Linked DNA regions of Oreochromis niloticus. The protein of the gene in region 2 purifies or fractionates together with the protein of the main gene of each other region. This does not show direct contact. Links are inferred from orthologs where the notes say so. Each region holds a gene or a part of one and is shown on either strand. Other genes may lie near its edges.

Evidence for each region.
Region 1: the proteins of aicda (region 2) and ctnnbl1 purify together in Homo sapiens (affinity purification with western blotting; 3 studies listed by BioGRID, with this or other methods). This does not show direct contact. The link is inferred for Oreochromis niloticus from reciprocal best matches to the Homo sapiens genes AICDA and CTNNBL1.

Annotation. Positions count from the first base shown.
Region 1 is NC_031984.2:28,878,450-28,894,801, forward strand, and holds the start of ctnnbl1 (beta-catenin-like protein 1), read right to left. Parts: upstream 9,259-16,352; 5' UTR 9,103-9,258; coding exon 9,073-9,102; intron 8,144-9,072; coding exon 7,913-8,143; intron 6,161-7,912; coding exon 6,054-6,160; intron 5,883-6,053; coding exon 5,743-5,882; intron 5,153-5,742; coding exon 5,055-5,152; intron 1,074-5,054; coding exon 980-1,073; intron 1-979. UniProt on the Homo sapiens protein: Component of the PRP19-CDC5L complex that forms an integral part of the spliceosome and is required for activating pre-mRNA splicing.
Region 2 is NC_031976.2:22,725,186-22,741,896, forward strand, and holds aicda (single-stranded DNA cytosine deaminase), read right to left. Parts: upstream 5,868-16,711; 5' UTR 5,770-5,867; coding exon 5,708-5,769; intron 5,062-5,707; coding exon 4,896-5,061; intron 4,830-4,895; exon of another isoform or gene 4,786-4,829; coding exon 4,503-4,785; intron 4,362-4,502; coding exon 4,249-4,361; intron 4,136-4,248; coding exon 4,085-4,135; 3' UTR 3,868-4,084; downstream 1-3,867. Other genes in the region: adaptin ear-binding coat-associated protein 1, read right to left, coding at 2,247-2,347, 3,274-3,374; nat14 (putative N-acetyltransferase 14), read right to left, coding at 9,126-9,569, 9,654-9,959, 10,067-10,147; znf628 (zinc finger protein 62 homolog), read right to left, coding at 13,304-15,301, 15,412-15,654, 16,039-16,193, 16,330-16,663. UniProt on the Homo sapiens protein: Single-stranded DNA-specific cytidine deaminase. Involved in somatic hypermutation (SHM), gene conversion, and class-switch recombination (CSR) in B-lymphocytes by deaminating C to U during transcription of Ig-variable (V) and Ig-switch (S) region DNA.

The DNA.
Region 1 (16,352 bases), on a different chromosome or scaffold from region 2:
AACGTTTGCAAGTGGTGTAGTGACTACCACCTGTTCCCTAAGTTGAAAGAACATTTGTCCCGTAGACGATTCTGCTCCGATGAAGAGGTGAAAGATTCAACGCTTCCTGAAGGACATGGCGGCGAGCTGGTATGACATGGGCCTTCTAAAACTGCCGCAGCGTCTACAAAAATGCATCCACCGAAATGGTGATTATGTCGAAAAATAAATTATTCTTTAACCTTTAAAATGATGTAAATATTACAGAAAATAAACAGTTTTTTGTACTTCTAAAACAAACCAGGAGACCTTACTTTTGGGATTGCCCTCGTAGCTGTTAATACCAAAGTGCCAAAGCCTGATAACTTCAAGCATTCAAGCAACACAGAAATAAAAAACGAAACTATTTTATATATACATATGAGACACTTCTTACTTGAATTCACTCCACTGAACAACAGGACAGAAACAGACTGTTTAAAAAAAATAAACAATTCCATTTTTTATTCCTGCCACCTGGTTTGTTTGGGCAGTTTCACTTGTCTACTATTCCACTCAATCCATGATGAATGTTTGAGTGCTTCATGCCAAAACTTCAACTGTTTGACTGCTTGTTTATTTTACATTATGTTGGACAGATGACAACAAAATGACTTTAGCTGTATTTCAGTCCTTCTATTTCAGGTGGTAGTGTTGTAGTTTCAGACATTACCTGACTGAAGCAATCAAACTTGCATGTTATTCCCACAGCTGGAAGAGCACTGCATATAGTCCTTTAAACCATTACTCAATGTCATTTTAGCCAAAGTGGACAAAACTGTTTCCAAGCATAAAATATGGAATTAGCTGACAAACACATTATTACATGTAGCCTTGTTTAACTGTAAATCCAGTGTCTTGTTTTGCTTATGTTTTTTCTTCTCGAGTGTGATGACAGTTTATTTTAGGACAACTAGAAATTGGACTTTCATTGCTAAGATTTTGGATCATGTCTCCTTACCGAGGGTGTTATAGATTCCATCAGCCTCCTCCTTCACCTGCTCGTCCAGACGCTCCATATTCTGCACCAGCAGGGCAACCACCTGACCCTCCAACTACAGACACACAAAGATGAAATTCAAGTCACGGTTCTAAAACAATTTTGCCAAAGGTCATATACAACTTTATCAGACTTTTGGAGAAACAATTTTTCATCTTTTAAAGGTTTTGGTGAAATGTAACATAGCAAAGACAATATTTTTTCATGTTCTAGAAACACTCCCACCCTTGCACTTTGTTGGAGGTCTGTCAGATGATTGTGTCTACCCTGTCTGAAAACAAAATTACAGTCTCCATCTTAAAAAAAAAGAAAGAAAGAAAAGATGTATATAGACTATCCAGGGATAACAGAGAGATGGTTCACTTTTAAGACTTGTCTTTGCAGAAGACGCTTGGTTCCTGTTGGAGCCTCTCTGACAATGTCCGAATGTTATCAGTCAAGTCAAGATTGGAGACTCATAACCACACAAAGCTTGCAAGGTGCCAGCGGGCTGGATAAATGTACTCTTATAGATGAAAGAAGACAGTCAACACAGATTTATGAGCCACTGCAGACCGCCGTGGATCATTTTGATTTATCTTATCAAGGATGCCACCTGGCCTTCAGGCAGCAAGGACAGAGGAGCCGAGGGCATTACAGCAAAGAGGACAGACAAATGGATTCAACCAACCTTTGCTGCCCTGAAACTGTTTCCCTTGGAAGGAGCTGTAAAGAAGAGTGAGGTTTATGGGCGCTCCATTGCATGGTAAATGGACTGCATTTATAAAATTCCTTCATCCTGCGAGTGCTACACAGCTACCCGAGTCACTATCTCACCCACTATCATATAAGAAGCCAGCTCACAAACACACACAAAAGCCAGCTTTTGTCAGCAATTTCTGATGTTTATCCTGCTTCATCTACAGTTCTTCCTATCACACACCAATATCACCAAGATAGAGGCCTCAGATATGTGTTCTTAACTTGACTGTGTCAGTTATTTAGAACACAAACAGTATTTCAACACATTATACTTACACAGAAAGTGAAGTTAATATTCTGCTCTGTGTTTGTAAGACTATTTCAGAGACAGGACCCATGGGCAACACCACAGAAACCATCTATACATCCAACCATTCAATAAAGTGAATACATTTCATTAATTATTTACAGTGGCACCTGCTATTGAGGACAGGTAGAGTGACGAGCTGAGGCATTTGACAACTACACGACAGCGTTAAGGCAGTTCTTGTGAGGTGTTGTGGTATGCAGTTGCCATTATGTCCTAAATGGAAGGACAACAAGCCCAAGGCTTACTATATAGACCAATAGCGCAGTAACACAACTGCTGAAAACCTTAATGAGGGCCACAACTGAGAGATGTCCAAACCATTCATTGCTACTTGCCACATACAGAGCTGTGCCTGCTGGTTACATTGCACACTGTAACTCATATCTACCTCTTAATGTGCCTGCAAAGAGGAAACTTAGCATGAGAACCAGAAAATAGAGCAAGTAGGTATGGTCCAATGAAACAGGTTCTTTCACACTGTCTAGATCAGGGATGTCAAACATGAGGTCTGGGTCCCAGAATTGGTCCAGGAAAGACCATGCGGGCAACTTTGGAAAATTTTAGCTTTAAAGTTTTTTTCTGGAGATAAAGACCTCCACCATGGCCACTAATACTATGCCAAAATGATTACGTAATAGATAAACAAATAAATGGCAAAAGTTCCTGTTTTTTCACCATCTACTGTATAATTGTTTTAGTTAAACATATCAAAGTGAAAGAATACAAACTTTCTGTGAATTAACAGAAACCTTCTGTTTTATATTCACAGGACAGTTTGAGCTGAGCTACCAGAACCTGATCTGTCATTTTTCTGAAATTACACAATTTCTTACACTTTCAGCCCGAAGAGTTGTTCTGACAGATTTCTTTCATTTACTACAGCAACATTTGTTTATCATATTAAAAAACAGAGACGTACTGTTACAAATACACTTCCATTGCGTATAATTAGATATCGCAGGGATTAAATGTGCAGTTAAACACAGATAGAAACAGGATTTTCACTGGTCCAGCTATATGTGATATCCCCACATTCTGCTGCTGGTACTGTGTTTACTTGGGCTAGCAACATGCATTAAAGGAAGAAGCTGAGCTGAAGGTATTTTAATATTATGAGTAATTTTCTGCAATGATCTCATTGAATAGAACAGGATGATGCTACCAGCTATACTGCAGAAATTGTTCAAAGAGCACGGCGAAAGTTCCATGGTGCTGGTTTCACCTATAAAATCCAATCTACCATCTATAGAAAGTGCTAAAAATCCACAGAGGCCATCTATCCATCCAACTATCCCCTTCGGCTTATCCGGGGCCAGGTCGTGGGGGCAGCAGCCCAAGCAGAGAAGTCCAGACCCCCCTCTCCCAAGCCACCTCCTTCAGCTTGGCCGGGGGAACACCAAGGCGTTCCCAGGCCAGCCAAGAGATATAATCTCGCCAGCGTGTCCTGGGTCTGCCCCAGGGCCTCCTCCCAGTGGGACATGCCCGGAACACCTCACCCAGGAGGCGCCCAGGAGGCATCCTTGTCAGATGCCCGAACCACCTTAACTGGCTCCTTTCGATGTGAAGGAGCAGCGGCTCTACTCTGAAACCCCTTCCAGATGGCCAAACTTCCCTATCTCTAAGGGAGAGGCCAGCCACCCTTCGGAGGCAGCCCATTTCCGCCACTTGTATCTGCGATCTTGCTCTTTCGGTCACTACCCACAGCTTGTGACCATAGGTGAGAGTAGGGACGTAGATCAACCAGTAAATTGAGAGCTTTGCTTTTACACTCAGCTCTCTCTTCACCACAACAGACCGGTACAGCGTCTGTATCACTGCAGCCACAGCACCAATCCGTCTGTCGATCTCCCGCTCCCTTCTCCTGTCACTTTTTAAGTCCATGCCAGGTAATTGTATAAACCTTAACTGGCTAACCTAGATATCTTTAAAAAAACAACAACACAGGTCTGGTGTTAGCATCTTGTTTCTGTTCACATCAGAAACAGAGCTATCCTCATGAAGTCACACTGAATTTATCAGTATGTTCAAAATGCCACGTGGATGTGTAAAATATTTGGATCAAACTACTCTAAAACTCCCAAGACTCCCAACCAAAGTGGTCAAGTGTAGCAGAGAAAAAAAGTCAACTGATTCTCTGACGAAGTGTCACAGTGACAGGTGTGAAGAAACAGAGGCACGCATTTCTTTTCCCCATCATGGCTTTACCCGCACATTATTGTAATTTGACCTTTGTCTGTGTCGCTCTAAATGTCAAAAAACATAATGGGATATCGAGAATCACGACACTCTAATATTTATGAAAGCCCGGCAGCACGACAGGCTGAACTAGAAAAGAAAAAAAAAAAAAAAAAAACAGGAATGAGGGGGCTAAATATACAGAGAGATGGAGAGACAGGGAGAGATCATCGACAGTGAAGTGATGCCAACACACACAGCCGGAGGGTGACAAAGAAAACAGAACGGAAAAAGAAAGAGTGGGAGAGTCGATGCTATAATTATGCTGATCAAACTACATACTGAAATCCATTTTTTCCTCTTGACTGAGTTCTTGTCATGTTGCTAATCCCATCATGTTTTTTTTTTTTAACTGTCACAGCCCGCCGCTAAGAGATAATTAAAAAGACTTTAAATAAATAAATCAACAGGTAACTTCAGACATTTGTGCCCCTGTAAATGACACTGGCAGCTTTACTAAGAACTAATGTTTGTGGATTTTTTTCCCCTTTAAAGTTATTTTAATACAACCCTTTTTTTTAGAATTATTTTAATTTAATGTAATTTGTGTTTCAAATCACACACACAAAAAAGCAAAAACAAAAACCATGAATGCTTCTAAGTGAGACTTAACTGAAACCTTTCTTTTGATTCATTAACAAAGACTAAGCAATCAATTTCTCTCCACCGTATCCAAGAAGCTTAAGTACTAACTCCAAAAAGTGCTGCTTCATCAATATCCGCAGAGACTCATGAAACTTTTGTACTCACCAGAGCATCTATGAGTACCTCAGCACCATCCTCGCTCTCATGCAGTGTGTCAATATCTGTCAGCTCCTGCAGCAGGTCCACCACGGCTATGGCGACATGTGGCTCAGGCTCAGGACAATAACAATACTCCCTACTTGATTTAACTCTGCAATCCTATAACACTGTAGAAGTAAAAGGACCCAAATCAATGCTTTGTCTTTCCTCTCAAAGCCAGGCGACTACTTCACCCAGAATGCAAATTGATCGCCCAGGTTGGTCCGTATTTTTGGTTTGTTGTTGGGGGCTGCACCTTGAGTACCAGTGCCTTCACTGAAGGTATTTTAATGGCTACTGTAATATTTATTTCTTATATTTTTTAAGGGTTTATGTATTTACTCCAATATGGTTTTGAATCTGAAATATGACTCACTTAGTAAATTGTATTTTGTTACAGTTTTAATGTAAGTAAGAACAAGTTTATAGTTTAAAAAAACATGGCTAAAATAAAAGCTTTGTGTGCAACAAATTCAATAAAAAGTTGACACATCTTTGCTCTCTTAGCTCTTTTCATGTTCTTATCCTGTCCTTGGTTCTTTGTACTAGCTTCGTTTACAACAGTAAACAGGGAACAAGTTTAAAGACCAATGTTACGTAACAAAACATTCAATAGAGAGAGGCGATCTGAATCAATCTCAATGTGAAAGGATATCAGTGTTTTCATGACTGAGGAGGCCCAGCAGTGAGTGGACGGCGTTCAGCTCCACCAGCAGGTGGTAGAGATCTGGCATCGTAGCAATCACATGCATTTCCTGGATAATGTCATTCAGATCCAGCTCCGACTCCATGAACCTAGTTTAATAACACAAATTAGAAGTTTTGCATTATAAATTTGATCATAATATGACAGTGTTTCTTAGAAATGCTGACACCCTCTTTTTTCTTTAGATCCACTTAAATCCACATATAGTTTTGTTTGTTGGAATAAAGTCAAACAAGATACTCTGTCTGTAATGGGCTTACTTTTCTGGATTGTCTGGAAACTTAATCCTCAGTTCCTGGTTTTTGTATGACCTCTTCTCAAAGGTCAGAATCATTTTCTTCACTGAGCTCTCATCGACCAGTTCTGCCTGTTTGATTAGCACAGGAGGCAGGGGAAAGGGAGCAAAAAGATGGAGAAGGGAAGATGGAAAGAAAAAGGAAAAAAAAAGATTTTATTAAAGCAACTGCTGCAATAACAACAAAGAGACTGTAGGGTCACCTTAATCATGTGAGTGAAGCAAATCGTGCAGACATTTTGTTCAATCAGATGGAATGCATTTGACTGAAAAGAGAAGGTGTTTGACCTCCTGATGGATTATAAACCTCCAAAGTGCTGGACAGATAACAATGTAGCATAAAACAACCTTTCCTGGAACTTACTTTGTTACCATTTCACCATGTTAGTGTTTCAGTAATTCAAGTCTCACTCTCTCCAAGTTTCTTGAAAGATCCAAGATTAACTGGGTGATTGAGGACACCAGATCCTGGTTATAGTAATCTAGTTTTGTTTGGTTTGTCAAAGCCACAAGAGCATTAGACCAGCCAAACTGACTGCACACCCCCTGTGGTCACTGAATATGGGACCAGCAATACTGGCAACTTTGTGATTGGAGGATTGATGTATGGGAAGTTTTAACCCCAGTGGAGCAAGAGGATTTCTCAAAGAGCTTTGAGGAATAAACCATTTTGCAATTCCTTTTTTAAAAGCAGAAACCTGGATAGAAATCAACCAGAAAAATTAATGAACAATACGAAACTGAAAAGGAAATTCGGGCAGGGAAACCAGTGGGGAATCACAGAAAACTATGACAAGGGAAAGTGAAAAGTGGCAATAAAAACCTTTTGTGTCCACTACAATAATGATCTTACAGTTTATATCATTTATTGCTTATTATTTTAAGTAGGTACTGCAGACTAAGCAGCTTGGAACAAAAATGAAAAATACAAAGACACTTTATAAATGGACGTTTACTTTTGTTTTTTTAATTAACTGACTTTAACAGGTCACAGAACAATAAACAGACATGACCACAGTGGCCAAGTCTGTTTTAATGGCGTGACTTTAAATGACGTAAAAAGAGGGATCTCTTAATCAGACCCAAAGCCAGGATGCAGCAGTAGTGAAGAGGAGAATTTGGGTTAGTGGCAGCACCATCAAATCTCACATTTGTCTTCCAACAAAGGAGTCTGAATTATTTCCTCCAGACTAAAGCAGAGATTGCCATAAAAGAAATAAGTCATCTTTGTCATTTAACATTGTATTCTATTTGATTTAAAGTGCTCTCGTTATTATCAATGGAACATTCGCTAAGAATGCTAATGCATTTAAGTCTGTTGTTTGTGTTGTTTACAGGAAACAAACGCGCTCTTGAGTAAGTCTGACTTAATAGATGTGCTCCCACGTGTTAAAGAAACTGAACTTTTGTCTATTTAATGTTGTCAATCTTAATATTTTCTAATTACTCCACCGACACAGATGTCACAGGTGGTTACATTTAGACACAATGCATGCAGATTATACCAACAACTAACATCTAATAAGTCTGACGGTATAAATCTGGCTGAAACACTTTTAATCATAGCATGTTTGTGTTTGTTTTAGTAGTGTTTGTGTAAATCTATCTGAATTTGCTAATGTGGCTAATGTCCTGATGAAGCATGCTAGTATGGTGAAAGCTGTTCAAAGATTGCCATGCAAACTATGAATTCCAAACATATGAGAATAAAGGAACACATTTAATTTTCATGATCTTTGTTACATTTCTTCATTTTTCATCACCCAAAGAAACCAGAGTAACAACTCTATAATAATAACATAACAATTACAATAACCTTCCCACCTCAGGTTCTTCTGCATCCTGGTCCATCAGCTTTTCCAGGATTATCTTCCTGTCCCCTATCAGCTCCTCATTCTCCCTCATCTCAGCACCTCCTTCTGCTCCTGCCACCTCCCTGTATCTGGCCAGCTCTCTAGCACTCATCCCTTTCAGCTGCTTGCCTCCTCTGGAGTCTTCATCTCCTCCTGCTCCTCCATCCTCTTCGCCCCTGGGACGCTTTGCTCCCCTATCAGGCTGCAACAAGAAAAGGGATCATTAAATGTATGTACAGGGATTTACTCTATAAGATGAATATATGAAAAAGTGTTGGCAGAGCCAAAAATTATCTTGTTGCTTGTTTTCAGCAAAGTGACATATAATGAGATTTTAAAAAATTAATGAAATACACCATTATAGCACCTGACTAGGTCATATCGGGCAGCTATAGAAAAGTCAATATAGAAACACTCAATCATGACTTTTCAAATGAATTTTAAAAAAAGAAGCACATATAATTTTATCAAGCTAATCGAAGCAGCTGCCACAGTTTTCAGCAGCTGTCAAACAATTAATCTAAGAAAACTGATGGCATTTTAAAAAGTTGCAACTAGAACAATGAACCTAAGTAAAAGACGGGATTTTACTGAAATACAGATTTATGAAATGAGAGATATAATGGCGATTTGCAGATTTGATACAAATACTGGGTGAAGTCGAGTTCTCGTGCGTATGCCTTGTATGATAAACGAAACTGTTCAGGTACACATTTGTTTCGACATTAACATATAAAACACCGAATCGAGCTGACTTAAGAATGCCAAAGATTCAAAATGCTTTGTTATGCATAACTAGTTTTAAACAGATGTATCTCAGGGAAGTCCACCGATGTTCAACCCTCTTGATGTGCTGCAGCGAGATAGCTAACAGACTTTTAGCAAACGGGCTAACTGCTAGCGTTAGTAAACACGGACTTGAGGTCCAAAGTTGTTCTTTCTTTTCGTGCAAGCGTCACTCAGTTCTAATTTACTGATCATTAAACAAGAACGCAAACAAAGGAGGGTAAATAAAAGTCTACATGCCCACACTCATTAAACTGTTAGCGTTTATTTACAACCAAATGAATGAGATAAGTTACCGTTAGCTTAGTTAGCTCTCACACACATTAGCAGGAGTGAAACGTCTACCTGATAGTTCAGGAGCTCTCCGACGTCCATTTGTCCAGGATACAAGTCTCAGCTTTCTTATAATTTTATTTCAAAGTTGAAAAAGCGCTCTCACAATTTAAGTAGACAGCTATTCCGCTAACTACAAGCTCCCTACATACACATGCCTGCCGTAAAACAGTCTTCACTCATTGCCGTAGCAACGAATTGTCGTAAACGTTGACGTTGCATGAGCAGAGTTTTCAACCATCTTCGTAACGTCTCGGAGCGATTATTTGGATAGGGATTTTGACTATTTTCCAAGTTACTGTCATCGTTACATCTTCATCCTTGCTGATACGGAATTCTCCCGTAGACTGGACTGCCATGTCTCTCCGTACTAGGATTATTTGTTTTCCTTTGTATATGTGTTATTCATTTTCTCATAAGTGATTTAACCAAACTTATAAATATGACTTAATTTGGTTAACAGTACAGCGCACAAACACTATTATAGACAACAATAATATTAAGAAATACTTTATTTTTCCCATATTTCTGAAATTCCAAGCAACGATAAAGAAATACATAATATTTCTAAATCAGTAATAAAAGGGAAAAACCACTTTAAATGTCAATAAAATGTTCAAATGAAAAAGCAGATCACTGTATGTCAGATATCTGAATTGCATTATAAAAAGTTGTTGCATATTGTATGAAAGATTTCGTGTATCTGTCCTTGTGGCAGCGGAGCTGAATCAGTCTGTTAGCGGAAACGCTATACTGTAAGCGGCGATGAAGTTGATCAGGCTTATGAATGACAGAAAATATTTTTTTCAGTGATCACTTTTTAAATGTGTCCAGTTTGCAGCCAGTAACAGAGCCAGCAGCGGACACCACAACCACCACAACTGGCTGATTAAAAATCTCCATCATTTTAGTAGCTTGCCTCCACCAGTGTGTGAATGTGAGAGTGAATGAATAGTGGCATTGTAAAGTGCTTTGGGTGCCTTGAAAAGCGCTATATGAAATCCAATCCATTATTATTATTTTCTATCAGGAAGGTCTCAGCGTCCATAGGACATTGTTGTCTTGTATACAGCCTCTGTGTGGGTTTTCGAGCTCTGTGGTTAATCTGGACATCCAGGTACTTGTATTCCTCCACAATATCCACTCCCACTCACTCTTTCTTACTCATGTTCAGAAGCAGATTATTTCTCTAAGACCATGCCACAAAATCATTCACTAGTGTTTTATACTCCTCCTCCTTCTGCCCATGACTGATACATCCAATCACTCCAGTCACATGTGGTGGTCAACAGTTGTTAAGCTCTGATAATGTCGGCTTCAACGCCAGTATCATATGCTGCCTTATAAGTGAGCTGTAAATTTGACTCAGGTTAACAGACAGTGGGCTAGCACGAGTCTGAAGAAACTTGGGGCTGATACCATCAGGGTTGCAGAAGTTAGAGGTATGGTTACTTTTAGGGCCAAAAGTGCCCAAACAGAATTCTGCAAATCAACGGCAGTGCTTGAAAGTTAGATCGTCGAAACAAGCAGTAACAGGAACACATTGCTTGTATGTTATCACAAAGTAGTATTATAACACAAAACAATAAATGAATTCATTATCATCAGGGTGTCCTAAAAAGTCACTAGAAAGCTTCAGTTGATCCAAAATGCTACAGCAAGAGTAAAGAGTCTTGCGTTATCAGGCCCTATCTTATCTTAAAGGCCTCATAATACCATTTCACACCAATAGAACATTTCACTCTCAGACTGCTGGCTTACTTTTGGTTCCTAGGATATTTAAAGGTAGAATGGGAGGCAGAGCCTTCAGCTTTAAGGCCCCTCCTCTGTGGAACTAGTTCCCAGTTTGGAATCAGGAGACAAACACCCTCTCTACTTTTTGTATTTGGCTTAAAACCTTCCTTTTCAATAAAGCTTACAGTTAGGGCTGGACCAGGCAACCCTGTACCCTCCCTTAGTTACACTGCAATAGATCTAGGGTGCTGGAGGCCTCTTATGATGTGCTGAGTGTTTCTTCTTCACTCATCTCTTTTTACTCTCCACGTGTTTATATATTTATTTCAGTTACGTAGTTATTGTTCATCTCTGTTGTACACAGTGTGTCTTTTGTCCTGTCTCCTTCCCCTCACGTCCAGGTGGTTGCAGCAGATGGCTACCTCCCCTGTTTCTCCCAGAGGTTTTTTCCTGTTAAAAGGGAGTTTTTCCGTCCTACTGTCGCCAAGTGTTTGCTCATAGGTGGTCATTTGATTGTTGGGGTTTTCTCTCAATGATTGTAGGGTTTTTACATAATAAAGAAACCCGAGGTGGCTTTTGTTGTGATTTGGTGCAATTTAAATAAAATTAAATTGAAGTTGGATACAACATTCTAGAATATGCATTTAAAACATTAAACCTACATTTTTGTCAGTCTCATTGTTCTTGTTTAGCAGAATATGTGTACATATGGATGCATTATTAATAAGCTACTTCATCCACCACTGATAATACATCTTAATAAAAAATATGTTTCCCCTCCCAACAGAATCCTTTGGGCTCTGTTGCCAATGCTGAAATAAGCCCACTTAATAATACAACTAAATTACACATGACTGTTACCTCATCAGACCTCACAACATTGAATCCTGGTCTTATAGGCTCAATTTTGCTGCATTCATAACAGAAGATGCTTCATATGCCAAACTGTCCCACTGTTCCAGACAAGCAGAAAATCACCTTTTCAGTGAGCGTCATTGAGAAATGTATGAGTGCCGCATGGTGTAGAAGCCTCCTTTGCCACTCCAGTCTCTGGCCAGTGATCTGTGACAGTAGAGCAATAGAAACAACATTTAAAAGGAAGGCCACTGCCAGGCAGTCAAGCTTGACGTCCCACCAAACACGAGGGAAAATGCACTTGATCAAAGGCAAAAGAGAGAAAAGAGAATAAAAGGGAGCATGAGGGTGAAAAGAGGACTTTATATGGAAATCCCAGGGCTGGTGAGAGGCAGTTTCAGATGAATACAAAGCTTTGAATCAGGGACCTGGAGAAGGCTCTTTTTATGAGTTTGACAAATGAATTTGGGTTAAAAAAAGACAAAAAATAGATGATGTAAAAGTATTTATACTGAACTCCCAATCCCAATGCCTGTTTGTGATTATTTACCAAGTATACAATAAGGTAAACGTCCAGGTGCATTATTAATGTTTATATTGCTGACAGTTGTATAATATGCATGTGAACAATGACAATGAACACATGTTCTTCTGATGCCCGAAAACTGGATGGTGAAAGACGAGGAATATAGTGACTATGGAGATCGTCAAAATGTGAAAAGTTCAAGAGAGCAGATATCTGAGCCACGAGTTAAATGTATAGTCATCTGGGACACAGGAAATGATATGATTTGATCCAGCAAAGCAGACACACAGTATTTCCAGTGTAAGGCACTTTAAAAAATAATTTAAATTTAATTTAAAAAATTAAATGTTAAAAGTTAACTTTTTTATCAGAGGGTCTTTTTCACACAAGTCACTGTAGAAAAACCACCAGTGTATAGGACGAAATGATTAATTGCTGACTTCCATTTGGCTTCAGTTGAAGGGTATTGTGCATGATGGCTCACTGTCACACTGAAACTGTCATGCTTTACTGAGATAGTTTAATAGAACAGAAATATTGTAACACTGGTACCTAAGTCAAGTCAAAGTGACTGTAATCCACAGTATTGCAAATATATTAGTTGATCAGCTTCTCACCTCACATGTGCTTCTGGAAGGATGGTCAAAAATCCCAATAAATACACTCCTAAATGTCATGGAAAGACTTCCCAGAAGAGGATGCAAAGGGTGGGCCAACATAATATTAAACCCTTTGGATTAAGAATGCAATGGCACTCAAGTTCCCAACACTTTTGTTAATATAGTGTACTTTTCTTTCTTTTTTAAAATTTTCTTTTAGAATAGAATAGAATAATCTTTTAATTGTCCCACAAGGGGAAATTTGGTTGTAACAGCAGCCAAAAAGACACATACACAGGTACACAGGACACAGAACAGAAACATACACAAATTTTCTTACATATTTACATTAAGGACAATGGTTACTATAAACAGAGTACTGTACAGTTATTAAATTAAATAAAAATAACTACAGATAAGAGGCAAACCAGGTTGTAGTGCGAATCGGTTAATTAAGTTATGGCAGTTACAGCGCTGATGGAAACATCTCTGTTTGTTGGGAGCAGTTTTGATTGTACAGTCTGACAGCTGCAGGGAGGAAGGACCTGCGGAAACGCTCCTTCATGCATCGAGGATGCAGCGCCCTAAATGCCCTTTACAGTGCCCTAAAACCCATAGCCATGATTTAAGGCATAGAAAACCTCACATACTTACAAACGCAAAGAAATTGGTTTGTGACACTTTCACATGGAGCATTGTGAATGTTTTCTGCATTCCAAATGCTCTTCAGTAGCTCGTGTTCTCCTGGAAACTGAGGACACAGATATGCTTTTAAGTTTTAAATTATGGCTGCCAGTTGACTTACTTGAATAAGCTTCTGATGGGTAGAACAAATTTACATTTAAACAACAGAGAGGATACAACTCTACAGACAAGTTAATGTCTTTTTAATCTTAGATGTTAGACCTTATTGTGTTGTATTTTTATATATTTCTATGTCAAACATTCTTATTGTATTACAAAAAAATAATGATATGCTAAAATTAATTTATTGTTTTTCAGCAAATCTACTAAGTTCAGCTGAAACACCAATTAACTCTCTAAGGGGATCATCAGAAAGGTGTATATTGTGTATCTAGTGTAATATTTTTATATAAACATGTCAACTAGAGTATTAACTCTGAATGAAACCTACCTTGAAGCTTGCATGATTACAAACACTTTATGTTCCACACAATAATTAACACGTTTCGCTATCCCTGAAGGAGCCAAAAGCTTTTCACACACAGCCGTCTGCCTAATGACATTGCCTCATCGTTTCCCCCGCAGAATTATTCTGGTTCGACGCTGTGTGATCCCTTTACACAGAATCGCACAGCATTTTCCTTGAAACAGAACAATACAATTTCACACAAGCTGGGAAGGCTGATTACATTAAATCACATGAGGTCAGTGTGATTGTATCATGCTGTGGAGACACGCATAAGTGTGTTCAAAATTCAGAGTGGCAATGTTATTAAAAAAAACAGTCAGAGAAGGAGCGAGAGACACAGAGAGAGGGGGAGAGAGAGCGAGAGATGATGGTGACAGCCGATTAGCCTTATCATTTCCCCCTCACTAAGTCAAGTGGTGCAATCAAATGATTTTCTCTCCTCTTAAACATGATTTGAATTATGCATCACATCAGCAGAGTACTTAAAAGCCCCACTCTCCAACAACGCACATTAAGCACTTACCTTACTTAGATTTCCAGAAAACTAAAGAATTAACAAGTTGTTTGGTCATGATGTACAGTAGTTCTCTGTGGATGAACAAGAAATAAGCTTTGCTATCCTCCTTGGATGGAGGAACATTTGATAATAAATTAATTTTAATTGAACATAGCAAAAACTCTCACTAAATAGAAATTGCACCGTATTCCTTTGATTGTTAGGAAATCGTAAAAGTACAATTTTGTATATTGTGTTATAGTCTGCAGAATATGTCAAGAATTGCTTGTTGTACAAGTAAAAAGGTGCTTTATTATTATTTGGGTTATGTGCCTTTTCATAATGCTGCTATTATACTTTTATATAACCCTAACCAGAGAGATTTCTGCATATCATCACATTAGATAATGTTTGGGCTTTTTTCTTTTCGTTTTTCTGGTGGTGTCTGCATTTTCTGCTGTCAGATTTAACACAGCAAGTATTCTTTGATCTATTTTAAAATCAATTTTGCTCCTATTTTGGGTAAAGCTTTGTATGTTGTAGTTCACAGTATACTATCAACATGTTACTCTTTCTTCCATCCATCTTCTTCTGCTTATCTGGGGTTGCGAGGGTAGCGGCTCTACTCTGGCCTCTCTTCGATGGCTGAGATCCTCACTCTATTTTTAAGGGAGAGCCCAGGCACTCCTTGGAACACATTTCCGCCACTTGCATCTGCAATTTCATTGTTTTCGGTCACTACCTAGAGCTTGTGACCATATGTGAGGGTAGGGTTGTAGATCAACCAGTAAATTCATAGCCTTGCTTTTATGTTCAGCTCTCTCTTCACCACGATGGACCAGTGCGGAGTCCACATCACTGCAGCCGTGGCCTCATCCATCTGTCAATTTCACGCTCCCCTGTCTACCCCTGTCTTGTGAGCAAGACCCCGAGATACCTAAACTCGTCCACTTGGGGCAGCAACTCGTCTCTGACCCTGAGTGGTCACTTCAATCTTTTTGTGGCTGAGAGCCATGGCTTCAGATTTGAAGCAGCTGATTCTCATTTAACCACCTGATGAAGCCAGCAGAACCACATCATCTGCAAAAACCAGAGATGAAATTCTCAGGCCACCAAAGTGAAAACCTTCCCCCGACCTGGCTATGCCTGGGAATTTTGCCCATAAACACTGTGAAAAGAATCGGTGCCAAAGGGCACAAATCCAACTTATTACCAACAATAAGCTCATCAAGCTCATCCAATGGTTATATAGGGAATAAATGGCTTGTGACAGTAAGCCAGACACCCCATCCTCCCGAAGCAACCCCACCAACAGGATACTCAGAGGGATGCCATCGAATGCCTTCTCCAAGTCCACAAAGCACATGTAGATATGTTGAGCAAACTCCCACACACCCTCAAATATCCTCTGGTCCCCCTTCTCAAAGATGGGGACCACCACCCCAGTCTACCAGTCCACAGACATCGTCCCAGATCTCCACATGACATTGTAAAAGCATGCACTACATCTGGAGCCTTTAGGAACTCAAGGCAAACCTCATCCACCCCAGAGACCCAGCCACCAAGTTGTTTAACTGCCTCAGTGATCTCGCCCCTAGTGAGGGCTGAGTCGTTCCTCAACTCCACATGACAAGGTGTTCAAAAAGGTACTGTGAATGCCAGTATGTCTTGGAAGGGATATATAAAGAAAAACACACATATCTGAAATATTTAAAATAAAATCCCTGTACTGTAAGGGAAATCATCTATAGGGGTAGAGTTCAAATAAAAGCAAATTATTTCACAGCGGACTACCCCAGTAAATTCAGAGTTACTTGTGGGAGTCAAAGTGCATGTCTATGGAAGAGGATTAGGTCCATTAGAAAAAAAAGTGGGGATATCTTTTTTTCACTGAATTCTCAGAAAAAAATGAGATTAAAACTTAACATT
Region 2 (16,711 bases):
GGAAAACGCCATGAGGTAAAGGACAGATGTGAAGGAGAATAATTAAATAACTGTGGAGCTGGTGAGAATCTGACTCCACTCACAAAAGTCTCTTGAACAACGTGACGATGACATCATTGATGTGGGTCTACTGTGTTAAAACTACAGGGCCCTGAAGATGGACTACAAAAAGCTTATTTTAGATACTCAACTATAGCTTTGTATGTTGCATATGTTTCAGGTGGTTTTAAATAAACAGGAATATATAGCCTATAAAGTCATTAAAAATTCCGGTCATACTTAGATTAGTTGGTCATCATGTCCTCACTTACTTTCACTTCCTCCTGGAGAGGTGATCCAGTACAAAGCCCGCCTTTATTAAAGGTTTATGTGATTCAGGTCAGATGAATTCATGATAATCTTAAAGGCAGCAACACAACAACAGATATACAGTAACATCCTGAGTATCCCCTCATCATTTCCTTATATTATCAAAATCTGATGGTACTTTTTTGTTTTCATAATTCGATCGATTTGGACAAGTTCGCCAACATCACTGGCTGAAATGCAGCCCCAAACCATGGCAGAGTCTTCACCATGTTTTGAAGATAGCTGTTGTGCCTCCTCCGTACATACTGATGACTTGAACTACAAATTTCAGGTCTTTGCTGTAGTTTTTCCTCTCAAGGACAAGGCTTTCTGTTCATCTGCTTTAGACAGTGTTTTACACCTCCCACTTTTCCTCTACTCATCCAGTTTACTCATTTTTTAAGGATACACTGCACACCATGCTGACATAAGCCAAATTTTAGGGAATCACCTTGCTGGTACAAAACTACTATTTTGTGTCCGACTGTGTTATTTTTGGCATTTTCCGTAGATTCAACTAAAGACATGGGAACAAATTATGTGTTTTTGCGACAAAGTGCCTAAAGGTACAAATTAAAATTGGTTCTTTCCTAAGTGTTATGTGTAGACACAACACTGGTTTGTCACTTGAGTCAGGTGTCTTTTTTTATGCTTGAATGAGTCACACGTCAATGTTAAGTGGCTTAACAAACAAACAGAAAAAAAACATTCCTCTGAAATGGTCAGGTACAGGGACTGGACCGAAAATGAACCAAAAAGCACTCAATGTCCATAAAAAACAAACAAACAAAGAAAATTACTTTTGCATGGTACATTCAAGCTCAATTACTGTAAACCTAAAACTCACTTTGGTCATTTTAATACAGCTATGAATCTCTGGCTCTCTTTCACATTGCGTTTTTGTCCCGTCTTCTCCCCATCAGCCCCAGTTGGTCGCAGCAGATGGCTGCCCCTACCTTGGCCTGGTTTCTTCCTGCTAAAAGGGAGTTTTTCCTTCCCACTGTCACCAAGTCTTTGCTCAAAAGGGGTTAGTTGATTGGTGGGATTTACACTGCATTATTGTACGTACGTTACCTTATAATATAAAGCACCTTGAGGTGTTTGTTCTTGTGATTTAGAGCTAGATAGATAAAATTGAATTGAATAATCTTCCATCCATCCATCCATCCATCCATTCGCTTCCGCTTATCCTTTTCAGGGTTGCGGGGGGCGCTGGAGCCTATCCCAGCTGTCATAGGGCGAGAGGCGGGGTACACCCTGGACAGGTCGCCAGTCTGTCGCAGGGCCAACACACAGGGACAGACAACCATTCACACTCACATTCACTCGCACATTCACACCTAGTGACAATTTCGATTATCCAATTAACCTATCCCCACAAGCTGCATGAATAATCTTGATTTTCTAAATGATTTACTTCATGATGAAGATTTTAGCACAGCAGTTCTGTGTCCACATTTTACCCGTGGGCTTAACAGTCTGCTATTCCAGGTTCAAAACATATCAGCAGGTTATGTTAATTCAAATTTACACGATCTGCATCACCTGTTTGTTACTCTGATTGTTCTGTAGGACATTATCTGTATCCTATGCTGAAGGAGGTAGTAAATAAACCACCTTTCTTTAGGATTTAAAGAATCAGACCAGAACTTATTATTGTTGCCATGTTACGTGAATGGAAAACAAAAGGTGTGTTTTACAGAAAACAAGGACATTAAGTTTCTAAAAAATGCACTGATGCAGCCTCCAGACTGCTCGCTCGGCTGCAGGCTGGGTCACCTTGGAATCGATGAGTAACAGAGGGGCAGGGTGACAAACAGGAGACTATACAGTGAAGTGATTTACAGCAGCGACAGCCCCGGTAAACAATGGCGCTGCCCTGTCTGCTCGTGTCTCACCAGAGACTTTGTCTTCCAATTTCACGTAGGCTACTTTGCCCCGGGCCGTCACACGCATGCGTCCCGTCCAATCAGGAGCATCCAGCTTCCAATCAGCAGCCCTAAGACACGCACACACACACACAGAGGTAGCAGTTGTGATGTAGGTTTAATTGTTGACAGTTTACTCAGACTGATGTTGACAGAGGAGGTGAATAAGCAAGACATAGGAAAGTTACTGTTATGATTTGTCATACTCAGACACACTCATTTTCTACGTGTGCAAAACGTGACTAAGACATTTCACTGAGACATGGGGATGAAATATTACATCATCACCCTTACTCACAATACATATGGTCAGCGGTTAACCAATCTTGTCTCATGGGACCTGAGGCACATGCTACTGTTTGGTTGGTGTAATGTCCAGTCAGAAGCAGCTGCGGCAGGTCACGCTGAAGGACTAGCCAATGAAAAATGGGGTAAACAAACCAATATCGACCTCTTTATAACATATGCATTACCTGCACAGTAAAGACATAACAATGGATTGAGGTGACCACATTGGCTATGAGCGGGGCATCCCATGTTTAACCCTTTGACATGGAGCAACATCAAACAATGCTCAAGCGTCCTTGAGAAGGACTCTAGCCTCTTTGCAGCCTCAGGGATGCTCTTCTGCTTGTATTTAAACGACAAACTAGCGAAATTAGGACGTGTAGCACGCTGTTCTCATTAAATAGCTGATTTTTAAGTGCCAGGTCTCTCCTGATGTGCCACAGGATGAAAGCACGAACACAGACAAACCGAGAGGGATGTAGCCGATCCGATACAGTCCTTGTTAAGTGGGCTAACAGGGCCCAGTACAACCCTATGACCTTGTAAATACACAGCCAAAAACAACCTGCTCACAAACTACCGCCGCCGCTACGTGAGGCTTCGTGACTAGCGGATGAGCTGGGTAGGTTGGTAGGCAGGTCGCTGAGGCACCGGCTCCTAACGGTAGCAGCACGCGAGCGCTGGGTCACAAACCTCCCCCATCCCTCACCTGATAGCCCGGTTAGATGTTCTCGGTGGGATTCGGTAAACGTTGACTTCAGGTTTGACACAGAGGATCGACTCATATTCGAACTGACCATCAGTCGCCATCTTGACTTTTACTCAGTCGGAGTACGCCGGTGGCGGTGATGGTGACGGTGTGGTGTGTCCGCGCCGCGTTAACGGCTATTTGACCGTAATAGACGGTATATTTGCGCATAAGCGGGTCCCTCTGCGCCATTGCTACCGACACGTTGCTACATTAAAGGGGTGTTACGCACACATTTTCTACGCTAGATCAAAAGGAACAAATGAAATGATTAATAGCTGGGTGTATTATGGGATTTTTTTCGGTTTAACTTTAAAATTTTAATATTAAGCCTTTGCTGCTTTGATTACGACTTTGTTTTTCGACTTTATTGCCAGAGTACAGTTTAAATGTGAAAAACTGGAGTCAGTTTTTAACCACAATCCACAGTTATGGGTTATGGTAGCTACCACCTACCGGTAGTTACCCAGAAACTATAAAACTATAACATTGGTACTATAAAACTATAACATTAAGAATGATAACCGTTAGCAATCAATAACACAATCCAGTATCTGATTGTAAAGTATTTTTTATTTGACTTCGCTACAGATACAGCAAGCAGCAGCTACCCAATGTTACAAGCCTTGCCACAACTTGAAAGCATTTTTTTCTCAGTTTTTCTAATTCTCAGTTTAGCTCTTGTAGTGATGGTCCAACACCAACATATCTTTTTCTCATCAGACTTAATAATAGACTTAATGCTAACTTCAGAGGCAGCCACAGGTTTGTTTTACAGTCCAAGAAGCTTGAAGGCATCTCTTAAATCTTCTGTGTCACAGGGCTGAAAGAGAAAAGGCAGAACAGGACATTATTATCATTCTAAACACATCATTATTTCGATTGGCCTCATCCTGCTTGCCTGAGGGAAAATATGTTGTGTGTTACATGTTATACCTGGAGGATGCGGTTGAGTTTTCTGGCCAGGCGTACTGTGTTTTGATGCAGACCTTCCCAGGCCTTAAATTTGCTTTGCTGGGCCACAAAATTCTCCCAGCAGTAGAAGAAGTCTGAAAACAATCAGCAAAATAAATAATTGTTACTGACATCCAGGAAAGGATTATTTTAGGGAATAGTGCACAACTCTAAAATCAAATATGTCTCTACTTTTTCTGTTTATCACCCACATAGGCATAAATTTATTCATCCACCTTTGTAACTCATGACTGTGATGTGCACGCCGACTTTTTTAAGCAGCCTGAGACCCTCTCTTTCACGACTGTCCTCCATGTCACAGAAGTAAAGACGAGAGACAAAGATCCTGAGGCGAAGGTTGGGTGTCTGTTTGAGGAACTGGGCCAGTCTGGAAGAGCAGTTTGCACAGGGAGACCAGGAGCAGAACCAGGTGATGGAGTAGCTGACCCTCCTCTCCCCATGAAATCCATACCCAGACAGGCCAGGGCATAATGTACCAAGTTGGCGCAGGAACAGCAGCTGCAGAGAAAAATAAGAATAAAATAATCATTATACAGCCTTCATTCAATTGCTGTTTTCTCTCTTGCTACTGAGCAGACCCTTTTCATATCTTCTCCCACTTTACCTACCTCAACGTGGCAACCATTGCGATTGCGGAGGTGTCCAAAGTCAAAGGACAAGGAGTCAGGCCCTACTCGTCTTTTTACTACAAAACAGAGGTATGTTTCATTCCGGCCCCTCGCCCAGCGCACATTCTTGTAATGATAGAGGAACTTTTTTCTGGGCAAAAGCATACTGAAATAAAGGGAGAAAACATTAAAGAGCACACTGCAGTAGACACAGCACAGATTAAAAAAAACAAAAAACAAGATACATTTTAAAAGCACGCTATGTTGAATTTATCAGTCAACATTTCAGTGCAAAAGGTGTGGCTGCTTTGTGGTGTCAGAAAGTTTCCCTAGTAATTCGCACAATTAATAATTTTACACCGCTAAGGTCTGAGACTAATTCTTTTTACTACTTAGATGACTCGCTCATTAATGAAAGTTTTATCTCTTAAGTTAGCACAAGTAATGCATGCAAAACCTGTGGTTAACCAAGCACAAGTGATGGACAGTCAGAAAGCAGATTACATTCACTCACAAACCTTTTCTCACTCTCAGTTTCACGACTTTTAGTGAAAGCAGGACAGTTATTCATCACTTGTTAATACTGAAACCCTGATATAACTCACGAGTAAAGGGTCGTAATTATTGAAACAGATTTCCAATGACAAATCTTATAATGGCATCAAAAGTATCGTAGCGTGGTAATAGAGCCATAAAAAAACACGTTTTTTTTCTTTTCTTAATTTAATAGTTTGCACGCACAGTTTGGTCAAATAGTTGTTGTTTGGAACGATAAATGCAACATATAAATAGAATATATCCATTTTGCTCACCTGTCTAGCTTTGCAATCATTTCAAAAGACGCGCTTTGCCACTCGTCGGGCTTGGGTAGCATAAAGGAAGGTAAATGAGAAAGAGTGAAAGTGTGTGTGTGTGTGTGTGTGTGTGTGTGTGTGGTGTGGTGTGTGTGTGTGTGTGTGTGTGTGTGTGTTGGGGGGTTAAAGGGAGGGAACTGAGAAGATATACCTCTAAACATAAACATCCTGCATACAACACAAGGCAGCATCTGGTTGGACAGAATGATTTTTCAAAGATAATTTGGGGAGGCGTGATACAGAAGAGACGGCTGGATTACACCGTGCTGCTGCTAAGCAATTAAAGCTGTAATTGGATTACTCACTGGCCAAATGTTTTCTTTCTGAATGCTTCACGGTTCTTATGTTTATTTAAAGAATTTGACATCTGTTTAAACAATGATTAAAGTGAAACCATTCTTTTGGTGAAAGGCAATAAAGGAATTTTATTGGAGGGGGAGATTACACAACGCAGATTTTAAAAAATAATCCGAGTGACCACACATGAGAGGAGCGTTTGACGTGATTTGTAACCTTTGGAGTTTTTACAGACGTCAGTAAATGGAGCCAACTGGATGGAACTTTCCAGACACTTAAGACTCATACAGTCACGGGCTCTCAACTGTTTGTTTTTGCCATATCATCAAGTAAAAGCTTCCAGATACCGTCTCACCTTGATTTACAGTGCTGTTCAGCCTTTTCCACCTAGCTGGTCCCCCCTCCCAACTTCCTCAGGGGCCCCAAGATTTGGTGGAGTTACAGGCGTTCCCAGACGTAACACTTACTTTGTATTCTCATCTGGGTTTTCCCAAACTGTGTCAGGATGGGAGCAGACCTGTAATCGACCTACCTCGCCCTACGTGCCTGCCGGACTGGCTGGCCAGCTGACCGACCACAGCGTGTGGATAAATCGCACTCACAAGCCTTTGAACCTTCGGATGCTGTCATCGGTTCGGTGCCAAATCAGGATGTGTATTATTTTGCTCCCGTCTTTTTCTTTTTTGCTCAGTCTGTTTTAGCTCGGGCCCAGTCTGCTCACTCAGTGGCACCGCATGCAGGCATCCTGCTTTCCCATGACTCCCCTCACCCTCTCATGCACTCTGTGGTTTGGGGAATTCACCGTTTCCCAGGGTGGCTGTTTTTGGCGCTCATCTGTGTGTGTATGTGTGCAAGCATGTGTGTGTTGGCCATCTGTATGAGCATGTCATTAACACAGTCTATATGTTATACATCATCTGGAACAAATTTATCTAATTTATCCTGTGATTGTGTGGTGCCCCCAAATTTAGAGTGATTCATGAGTGTGTGTGTGTGTGTGTCTACATGCACTGAACAACCTCACATCATATTGCATTACTCTGACAGCGCACTAAGCCTAATGTCTCTGCACATTTGATCTTGAGCGCATGTGTCTTTTCTGGACTTCAAGAGGCTGATCAAATGCCAAACTATATGTAACCACTTCCCAACCACCTCTCTGGGTTTGACCACAGTTGACCAGGGTCATCTCACAGTCACACATGAACACTCATGTGTGCACTACCACCCCTCCTGTGCACTGTATGCATGTGTGTGTGTATGTGTGTGTGCTGGAGTAGTACCGTATGGCCAGACATGCATTTAAACCGTAGTCGAGGATGGGGGGGGGACCGGGTGTAAGAAATGCCAAGTCATACTTTCCGAAACCCACCCGCCCACACACTGCTCATGCGCGCACAGGCACACACACACTCACACAGCCATACCGTGCAGACGCATATGACCACAGTCACAAACAGACTTTCTTTCCAGTGTGTGAACTCACATCTGTTTCCTGACAACAATAATAGCTACAGATCAGGCGGGTAGAGGCCCAACTTACAGGTGTCTACTGTTTGGCAGTCACGTGGAAACAACCTGATGATGACCGAGAAGTGTCACAAGTAAAGACTACAGCTTTTACAAGGTGAAAATGCCCTGACCACACACTTACTCGTGCATGCTACAACACTGCTGTGTTACTAGGTGTTTCAGCTTTGTCATTTAAGTTAATTAAAGGACGGTGATTTTCCACTACGGCTTGGCTTGCATGATTTAGCAGCAAAGTATAGGCCTATATTTGCCTTCACATCAGGTGTGATATGCCTCCTTCCCACACACATTAACACTGCACAAACATCCTGTGGTGTTTATGTGTGGCAGATTGATGCTATACTGACATCGTCTGAGGTTAGCAGTGGGGTAGACTCGCAATGCAAGCGTGAGGGCTGCTAACCATATTAAGGTTAGCCTCAAGCAGGGGGGTTGTGTGCATTTCCCCACTTAGTCATATAAACTGCCATTCACCTGCAAACCACACACATGCTTAAGTCATAATACCTATGTATAAATTTTACGTACCGTGCTACAATCTCCATACAAATGAAAGCATAACTGATTTTGATTAAATCTTTGTAATAACTCAGTATTTTGGGGATGCAGCTAATAGCTACTTTCTGCAAAATGAATCTACATTTAGTATTTTAACTATAAAGTAAATTTAAATGAAAAAAAAAGCACAAAATCCTTTCATTTATGATGCTGTGACCCACAATAGCTTCCAATTTTAAAAAAAGATAATACAGTTTATAGTGTATAAATTAAAATGAATGAAAGTGGAAAATAATGATTTATTTCCTCTTCATTAAGGAAATATAATGTAGAATTAAACAAGAACACATTGTTAAAGCACTATATATTTTATCAATTAACACTAGCATTAAAGAATGCACTCTCTTTGCGTTTGATATCTTTACCATTGCCTAAAATATAACAAAGAAAACTAAAAGTGGAAGAAAACGTTATTGAGGTTGTGCTGTTTTTGCAGCCTCATCGACCCACAAGCTATTACGAAGGTGAACAGCGGCAGTCAGGGAGTGCAGAGATAAAAGTAGATAAATTCTGCATATTCACGAAACCGCACATACTTCCTATACAGTAACTGTACAGCCTCCTACACATCTGTTTGGTTTCACACAAAGAAACGCGTGCAGTCTCACACACACACACGCGCGCGCACACACCGTTTACAGTGTTGATTTTTTTTTTAAGAAAAGGAACTGCACAAACACAGCTAAGGAAACAGTTTAAATTTAATTTAATTAGTACTTTATTACAAATGCTCAGAGAACAGCACAGCTGAGGCATGATCATGCTATCTTTGAATGATTAAATAAAGAATCGTTTTTTCATCAAAATGAAAATGACGAGATGATGAAAAATAAACTCAAAACAAATGAATCCTCGGGATAGCAGCACACTCAATAAATAATCGAATAAATAACACAAAGATTACATAAATGAAATACTTGAACATGCTGCTGCAGAAATCAGACGCACTTCTTTACCTTTTAAACTGCACGTGTCCATTAAAACTCAATCACAAGTCTTTGTAAAACACTTTAGTGAGGGGGTAGCCCAGGAAGCCTCTCTCAGGAGTCTCTTGTTTCAGTTCCTTATCATCTTCATCACTAGTTTCCACCCCAAGGTGGCGATAACCCAGTTTCCTGAAGAAGGCTTCCCCCACCTTTGAGGGGTAGGGGACGTGTGCATACACTCTGTATGCCCCTGTCTCTCTCTCTCTCTGCTCCAGGCTTTGGACAAGCAGCCGACCGAGGCCCTCCCTGCGGTACCAAGAGCCTGTCACCAGCCTGCAGATCCTGCTGATGCCCGCTCGTGTCTCGCCCTCCCGGAAGATGCAGCCCAGGATATCTCCCTCACTCTCTGCCACCCAGACCTGCCCTGCTGCCTGCTCCCTCTCCGGAGTGATCTTTTCTGTTGATGTCTCTTTTTCCTTGTCTTTGGATCCAGCTCGGCGCTTTGGCTGAACAGAAGTAATATTTAGCGACTAGTCTTAAATAAAAACTGCTCAAAAAAATGTGAATTTTCAGCACGTCAACAGACTAACCTTTTTTGTAAATGGTGTCTTCCCACTGATCCGGCAGTAGGGATTCTGCAGGGTGTCATCCTGTGCCTCTCTGTAGCTGCTACCCACATAGTCCCAGTAGGGCCGGCTGCTGCCCAGGACCCCGGTTGACCGCGGCATGGTGATTTTGAGAAAGACAATTAACAGGAAGACAGGAATAGCAAGGGCCAGGATGAAAGAGTGGACAAGGCAGCGCAGAATTGAGGAAAACACAGCGAGGATGAAAAGGCAGAGTGGGCGAGTGAGGATGTGGAGGATGAGACGATTTTCCGTGCCCTCGCAGCCCTCCTGCAAAGAAATTCATGCACTTTTTTTTAAAGAAAGGGCACAAACCTCAAAACGATGTGACTTAATACCCAACATGATGAAGCCCAAAGCATTGTCTAAATACAAACCTTGATAAGGGCTTTGACAATTTCAATGTCCTCTTCCTTCATCCTCCTCATCACCACCTGGTCAAGCTCCAGCCTCACCATGTTTAGGCTTTTTGCTCAAACAGCTGGCCTGCTCCAACGCTGTTTTATGTTGCAAACTTCAGCATCCACAGCGCCTGCACAGGGAGCCTTGAAGAGGAGTGGATGGATAGGAGGATGTAATTCTGGGGGCTAGTATTAGTGAACAGCTTGTGGATGATTTTGTTGGACAATGAAATACTGGTTAGTGTTTTTTTAAACACATAGTATGACAAACGTGACGTAGTTAAAATAGGTCAATCCATTTCAAAACTATGAAATACTATAAAATGCACTAGACTTCGCTTCCACTGAGCCAGTAGTTGCATTGTAACAGCACACCCACGCTGGCTCCAAGCAACAAAGGCAGATGGAGATTATGGGGGATTTGCAGCCTGCAGGACCGTTTTTCAGTACTGTATAATTCACATATATCAAGCTTTCGTCTTTACATTTAACAGAAATCATCAAAGGTACACTCGAAAGCGAAAAGACCTGGTTCAAATCCTTATATGGTTATTACGAAGGGCTGCGGTCTCCTGACACATTTAACCCCCCGCTCCACTTACCTTCTGCACAGAGTACCTCAGATCAAGCTGAAAGGTGGGAAACGCGCTCTGTGCGCTTCTGTTGGTTTTTAGCCCGTGTACGTTGGCACGTTTCACTGAATAACCATCATATGTTTTCTTGCAGAAAGAAGGGAATTATGAATACAAACTTACTCTATTTTATGCCCGTTACACGCTTTCAATGTGGCTGCCTACGCCATTTGCGTACGTAAAACTTACACTGCGCAACTGCTACGTGAATAGCGAACGCAACGTGACAGCGCCGCGTACGTCTGGTGGCAGTGACGTCAACCAAGTTCCAGTTATACTGGATGGATTTACAGTGGCAAAATCGCTGCTGTATGCCACTTTATTAGGTACACCTGTTCAACTTCTCCTTAATGCAAGTATTGAACCAGTCAATCCCATGGCACCAACTCCATGCATTTAGGTCTGTAGGCATGGCCAAAACTACAGCCAGTCTGGTTCAAGCATTTTGGAAAACTGCTTATCTACTGAGATTTTCTCTCGCACGCACTTAGGGTTTCCGGAGAATGGTTTGAAAAAGAGAAAATATCCAGTGAGCGGCACTTGAATGAAAATGCCTTGTTGATGCCAGATATCAGAGAAGAATAATCAGACGTCTTGAAGCTGACAGGAAGGCAAAAGTCAAATAAACCACTTGTCATGACTAAGGCATGCAGCATGTCTGAATGAACAAGTCAAACCTCGAAGCAGATGGTATACAGCAGCAGAAGACCACACCAGGTGGCACTCCTGTCAGTGAAGAACAGGAAACCGAGGCTACAGTTCACACAGACTCACCAAAACCGGACAATAGATTGGAAAAAACGTGTGTGGTCCGATGAGTCTTGATTTCTGCTGGAACATTCAGATGGTATGATCAGAGGTTGGTGTAAATAACATGATCTTGTGGAACCCTCCTGCCTTGTATGTGCAGTTCAGTCTAGAGGTGGTGGTGTAATGGTGTGGGGTATATTTCATTGGTATACTTAGTTCTTTAGTAACAAATAAATGGTCTGGTTCTTATCAACTCCGAGCACTCAAAGCGTTTTACAGAACTTGCCTCATTTACCCATTTGCACCCATTCACACAGACTGTTAGTATCTGAGTATTATTGTTGACTATGTCTATCTACTAAAGACCGATCATTGTTGTGTGGGAAAATACAACATAGCTCAAATCATGTCAAACTGTTTTATTCATTGGTGTTATGGATGAGCCTCAGGGATCCAGTCCAATCCCAGTAAAGTCACTCAGCTGAATTCTCCTGATACACTCCAACTATAAGTTATATTGATTCATACTGTTTGGTGATGAAAAACTTAAAGACCAAAAGTTATTACAGTGCAACCTCAGTTTGATTATTCAATTCAAAGTAGTTTAGTGTAGTAATCCTGGTGTGGATGAGCAGATGATTTAATGCAGGTCAGACTTTGGGAAGTACCCCTCATGTCCCACTGACACCATAAACAGGTCATTTATCACCTTGTGCTGCTGGTTTTAAAGCATGACTCTATTTGAAAATACAGATATTGTGTGTTCACAATCAAATGTCAATTTCTGCAGCTGGAGCATAGCATTTTTAAAAGAAAAAAAAAATGAAATAGCAAAGTGACTTGAGCCAAATGACCCCCATCAAAGTTGATTGCCCATCCAGTTTATGTGGTCTGCTGCTGACCCTGAAAGTGAGTTCAGTGTACTCAAATGGCCTCCACAGTCACCAGATCTCAATCCAACAGAGCACCTTTGTGGTGGAACAGGAGGTTTACATCATGCATCCGACAAATCTGCAGATGCTATCTGTGATGCATTTTTGTGATGCAAAATCTCTGAGGAATGTTTCCAGCACCTTGTTGAATCTGTTCCACAAAGATTTAAGGCTGTGCTGAAGTCAAAAGAGGGTCTAACTCAGTACTCGCAAGGTATATCTAAGAAATGGGCGGGTGAGTGTATAATCAAAGGCTATTTGTGGTGCTGTGATGTGGGCTTTTACTATTACTTAAAAAAGTGTTGCTCCCATTAAATTTATGCATTTAGTGGTGGCATGCAGTACATGAACTGAAATGAATATGACACCTGACCAGTCATCCCGCCTTGTGGCTCACATGTACCTCAAAAATGCATGTGCTTAACTCTGGATGTATCCCTGAACTGAAACTAAAGAGCAGGTGAAATAAGACTAAACAATATTAACACACTCTTTGTTCCACATTTTGTTTGTCGGGATGTGGACACCCTACAAGTAGTAAAAAGAATTAAAAATCCAAATGATAAAAGGTATTAACAGATTTATTAATTATTAGTTACTATTAACATTGTGAAGAAAGTAGGCAATATACAACATTCACAAAAAACATATTTACTTAATAAAACTGCCAACGACAGTATCAATTAAACTAATCTTTAGGAATATTCTGAGGTCCATGTACAGCCTATTTAAATGTATAACATTTGGCATGGCATTACAACACAGTACTCATCTAACTGCATGTCCTCGCTCACTTGCATGAGAACTCAACTGACTATAAAGTGCTAACAAACAGCCCACAAAAAGTGAGGCATTTACTCATACATACACTTTATTCGTCTCTAACATGCACACCGTTCTCAGTTAGAGAACTGCATCTCTTTAGGTTTAGAGCTAGGTCCATTCAGCGCGTCGTCCTCTGAGCTGACTGCAGAGTTCACTTCCTTTGTAGACTTTTCCGTGGCCTCTGCTGTTACACCTTCATATTTCACCTCGCTACTTTGTGGAATCTCCCCGTCTCCTCCTCTCTCCATTCCCCCTTCTCTTAAGCTACTGGTGCTGACTTCAATTATTACAATTTCATCTCCACTTTCCAGCTGAAAGATACTTTCCATACCTCCTCCACCCTCAGTAACTGTGCCATTTCCAGTACTGCAACCTCGGCCCTCCTCTCCTATCATTCCTCCTTCACCTTCTATCAGGGCTATCATCTGCATGCCCTCCTCAGTTTCCTGTTCCAGCTTGGTCTCACCTCCCAGCTCAAACACCACCTCCTGCCCATCAAGTGGTACTAAGCCTTGGGTAGATGTGCACGAAAGCTGCAGGCTGTTGTCCTGCCCTTGGCTGAAGGCAGCACTGGTTGAACCATTATCCTGTGTGTTAGTGTGGAAATGAAGGACATACGACTCCCCCTGGCTGCCATCCCCACCTGATTGTCTCCCATCCTGCTTTTCTCCACTCCATTCTTGCAGGAGTGACATCACCCCTCCCTTATCTCCCCCTTTTTCCTCTTCACCTGACACATCTGTCTTGAACTGCAGCACGAGTGACTTTCCCTCTCCACCCAGTCCTTCATCGATTGCCTCCCCAGATGCATTCCCTTCAAACTGCAGCACATATGACTCCCCGGCCTCCCCGATATTCATCCCCTCCTTTGCCTGTTCTTCATTATCAAAACACAACACAAACTCTTTCCCTGACAAAGTTTCCCCTGTCCTCATTTGCTCCACAGTGGAATGAGGTTTCCTTTCTGCAGGGACAGGAGCAGAATCTGATGCTGCAGCTACTGTGGTGGCTGGTGTAACCATGGTAACAGTCGGCGAGGGTCCTGAGGTATCCGCTATGGGAGCTACAGTGGCAGGGGACGACAGAGTCGGGGTAATGGTGTCAGATGTTGTGGGTAGAGAGGATGAGTTTGTGGTAGTGTTAGCAGCAGTAATAGTCTGGGTGCCACTGGTCACATTAGAGTTTGTTACTGCAGCAGCTCCGCCTGCAGTGTGACTGACTGGGGTTGGGGCCGATTTCAGAAGTGTAGCTTTTGGTTTGCGCCCCCGTCTGCCTCGTGCAGTCCGTGTGCTCTTCCCCAGTATCGGCTTCGTAAGTAGGGAGCTGGCTGAGAGGTTGTGCGTTGGTGTGGCAACTGGAGTGTGTGCATTGTTACTGTTGTTAGTAATTATGATCTGTTGTTGCTGTGATACAGATGGAAACTGGGGTATCTGAGTCTGGTTTTGGTTAAGCACAGGCTGGAATGCTTGGATAGTCTGAAGCACGGGGAGGGACTGAGTCTCTGGAGCTGGTGGAGGGTTGTTTGCTGTGGGGAGGAGAATCAGGCTGGACTGGGCGCCGTTGCTGGAGGGGCACTGCAAGAGGAGGAAGTTTTGAGGCTGGGATGGTTGCGGTGGTGGTGGAGGAGGTGGTGGCTGGACTGGCGTAGGCGATGACAGAGGAATGAGCTGCAGGCCGCTTGCTGTCTGTATCATGAAGTAGTTCTGGGAGGTGTTGGGGGGAATATTAAGTGCTGGTTGGGACACAATCAGACTGCCATTGTTTCCTGAGGCTTCCAGGGTGATGGGGTTCAGCAGGGTTGTGGTGGTGGTTACTCCTCCAACACTGGCTTTCACAGCCACGCCGTCTTTACCTCCACCACCTGGGCATGGCAGGGAAACACCAGTGCCGTGGGTGCGGATATGCCTCTGCAAGTAGGAGTGCATGACAAACTCCTTCGAGCAGTACGGGCATTTGTAGTCCTTGCGTGAGGAGTGTGTGCGAAGGTGGAGCTGAAGGTTGGAGGAATGAGTAAAACTCTTACTGCAGTGGGTGCACTGAAAAGGTCTCTCACCTGAATGCGTGCGTTCATGCTGCTCTCAGAGAAATGTTAACCAAAAAAAAAGGAAAGAAAAATAGAGAAGTTATGAAATCAGTTGATAAGACTGAACATTTTATAACATGACACTGCAGCTGCACTGACCTGTTTCAGATTTGACGTCTGGGAGAAGGACTTGGAGCAGATGGAGCACGTATGAGGCCGCAGACCAGAGTGCATCTGACTGTGTCTGCGCAGGCAGCTGGTGTTCTTGAAGGACTTGCCGCACTCTTTACACACATATGGCCTCTCACCTGTGTGCTGCCGCAAGTGGTACTGGTAGTGGGAGCTCCACTTGAAAGTGAGAGGGCAGTGAGGACACTGAAATGCCCGTACACCTGTATGCACCTAGGTAAGATATATGTTAAAAAAAGTGGGGGTTAATTTTTAGTGTCCTACCAAAAGAAGAATCCAGAACTGAGCTTGATGAAGAGTGGAAGTCAGCACAGGGAATGCTTGTTACAACTGAAGCACTGAGTGACAGTGACTTTAGTCATGAGAGACCAATAACTTACAGCATATTCAAAGTTCTTTTTCCTTTTGCTGTTAGCATTTGTCTGATGTAGACTGCATTCATCTCCAGAGGTAATTACATGAGAGCTAAAATACCTAATCAAGTGGAATGTAGAGTTTCACACAGACCACAATCAAGAAACCTCACATCAAGAAAATTATTTTGGTAATTAAAACCTTATTTGATTTATCTGAGTGGAACAGAAGAGTGAGCCTTACCCGCTGATGGATAGAGAGCAGTGATGATCTCTTGAAGCTCTTTCCACACTCCGTGCAGCGGTAGGGCCTTTCCCCAGTGTGATCCCTCATGTGGTATTTCAACCCTGATGAACCTTTGAAGGCTTTTCCACACTCTGAACAGCGGTATGGCCTTTCTGTGTGAACATGTGAGACATGAGTTTTTAAAAAAAATAAATAAAAGAACAGCTGAATAAGGAGTTCTTTAAAAAACAACAACTGAATATCAGCACAGTTTTATGTCTCATCTGCTTTCTTTCTAAATATCTTTACCTCCAGCAGGAGTGCTCTTGCTAGATCCTGTCTTTTTGTGGGCTTTGGTTGGTTTTGCTGGCTGCTCCTCTTGTTCCTCTCCGACGGCTATGATGTTGACATGAATCTCCCTCTGGTCCTCCTGTTGCTTGTCAGCCTGGCTCGGAGAAGAGGGAAGGGGGAGAGACAAGGAAAGCGACGGAGGGCACACGATTTCGGCCTCTGCCTCAGCCAGGAGACGCTGCTCGGGAGTGTGGGAGTGTTGGTGCGTGAGGAGCGAGGAGAGAAGAGGGAAAGAGCGGTCGCAGGCAGAGCAGCTGAACTGGGAACGGGACTGTGATGAAAGAGAGTGCATCTGGAGGGGGAAAAAAAGAAAAAAAAAGATGAGGAAAACAGGACGTAG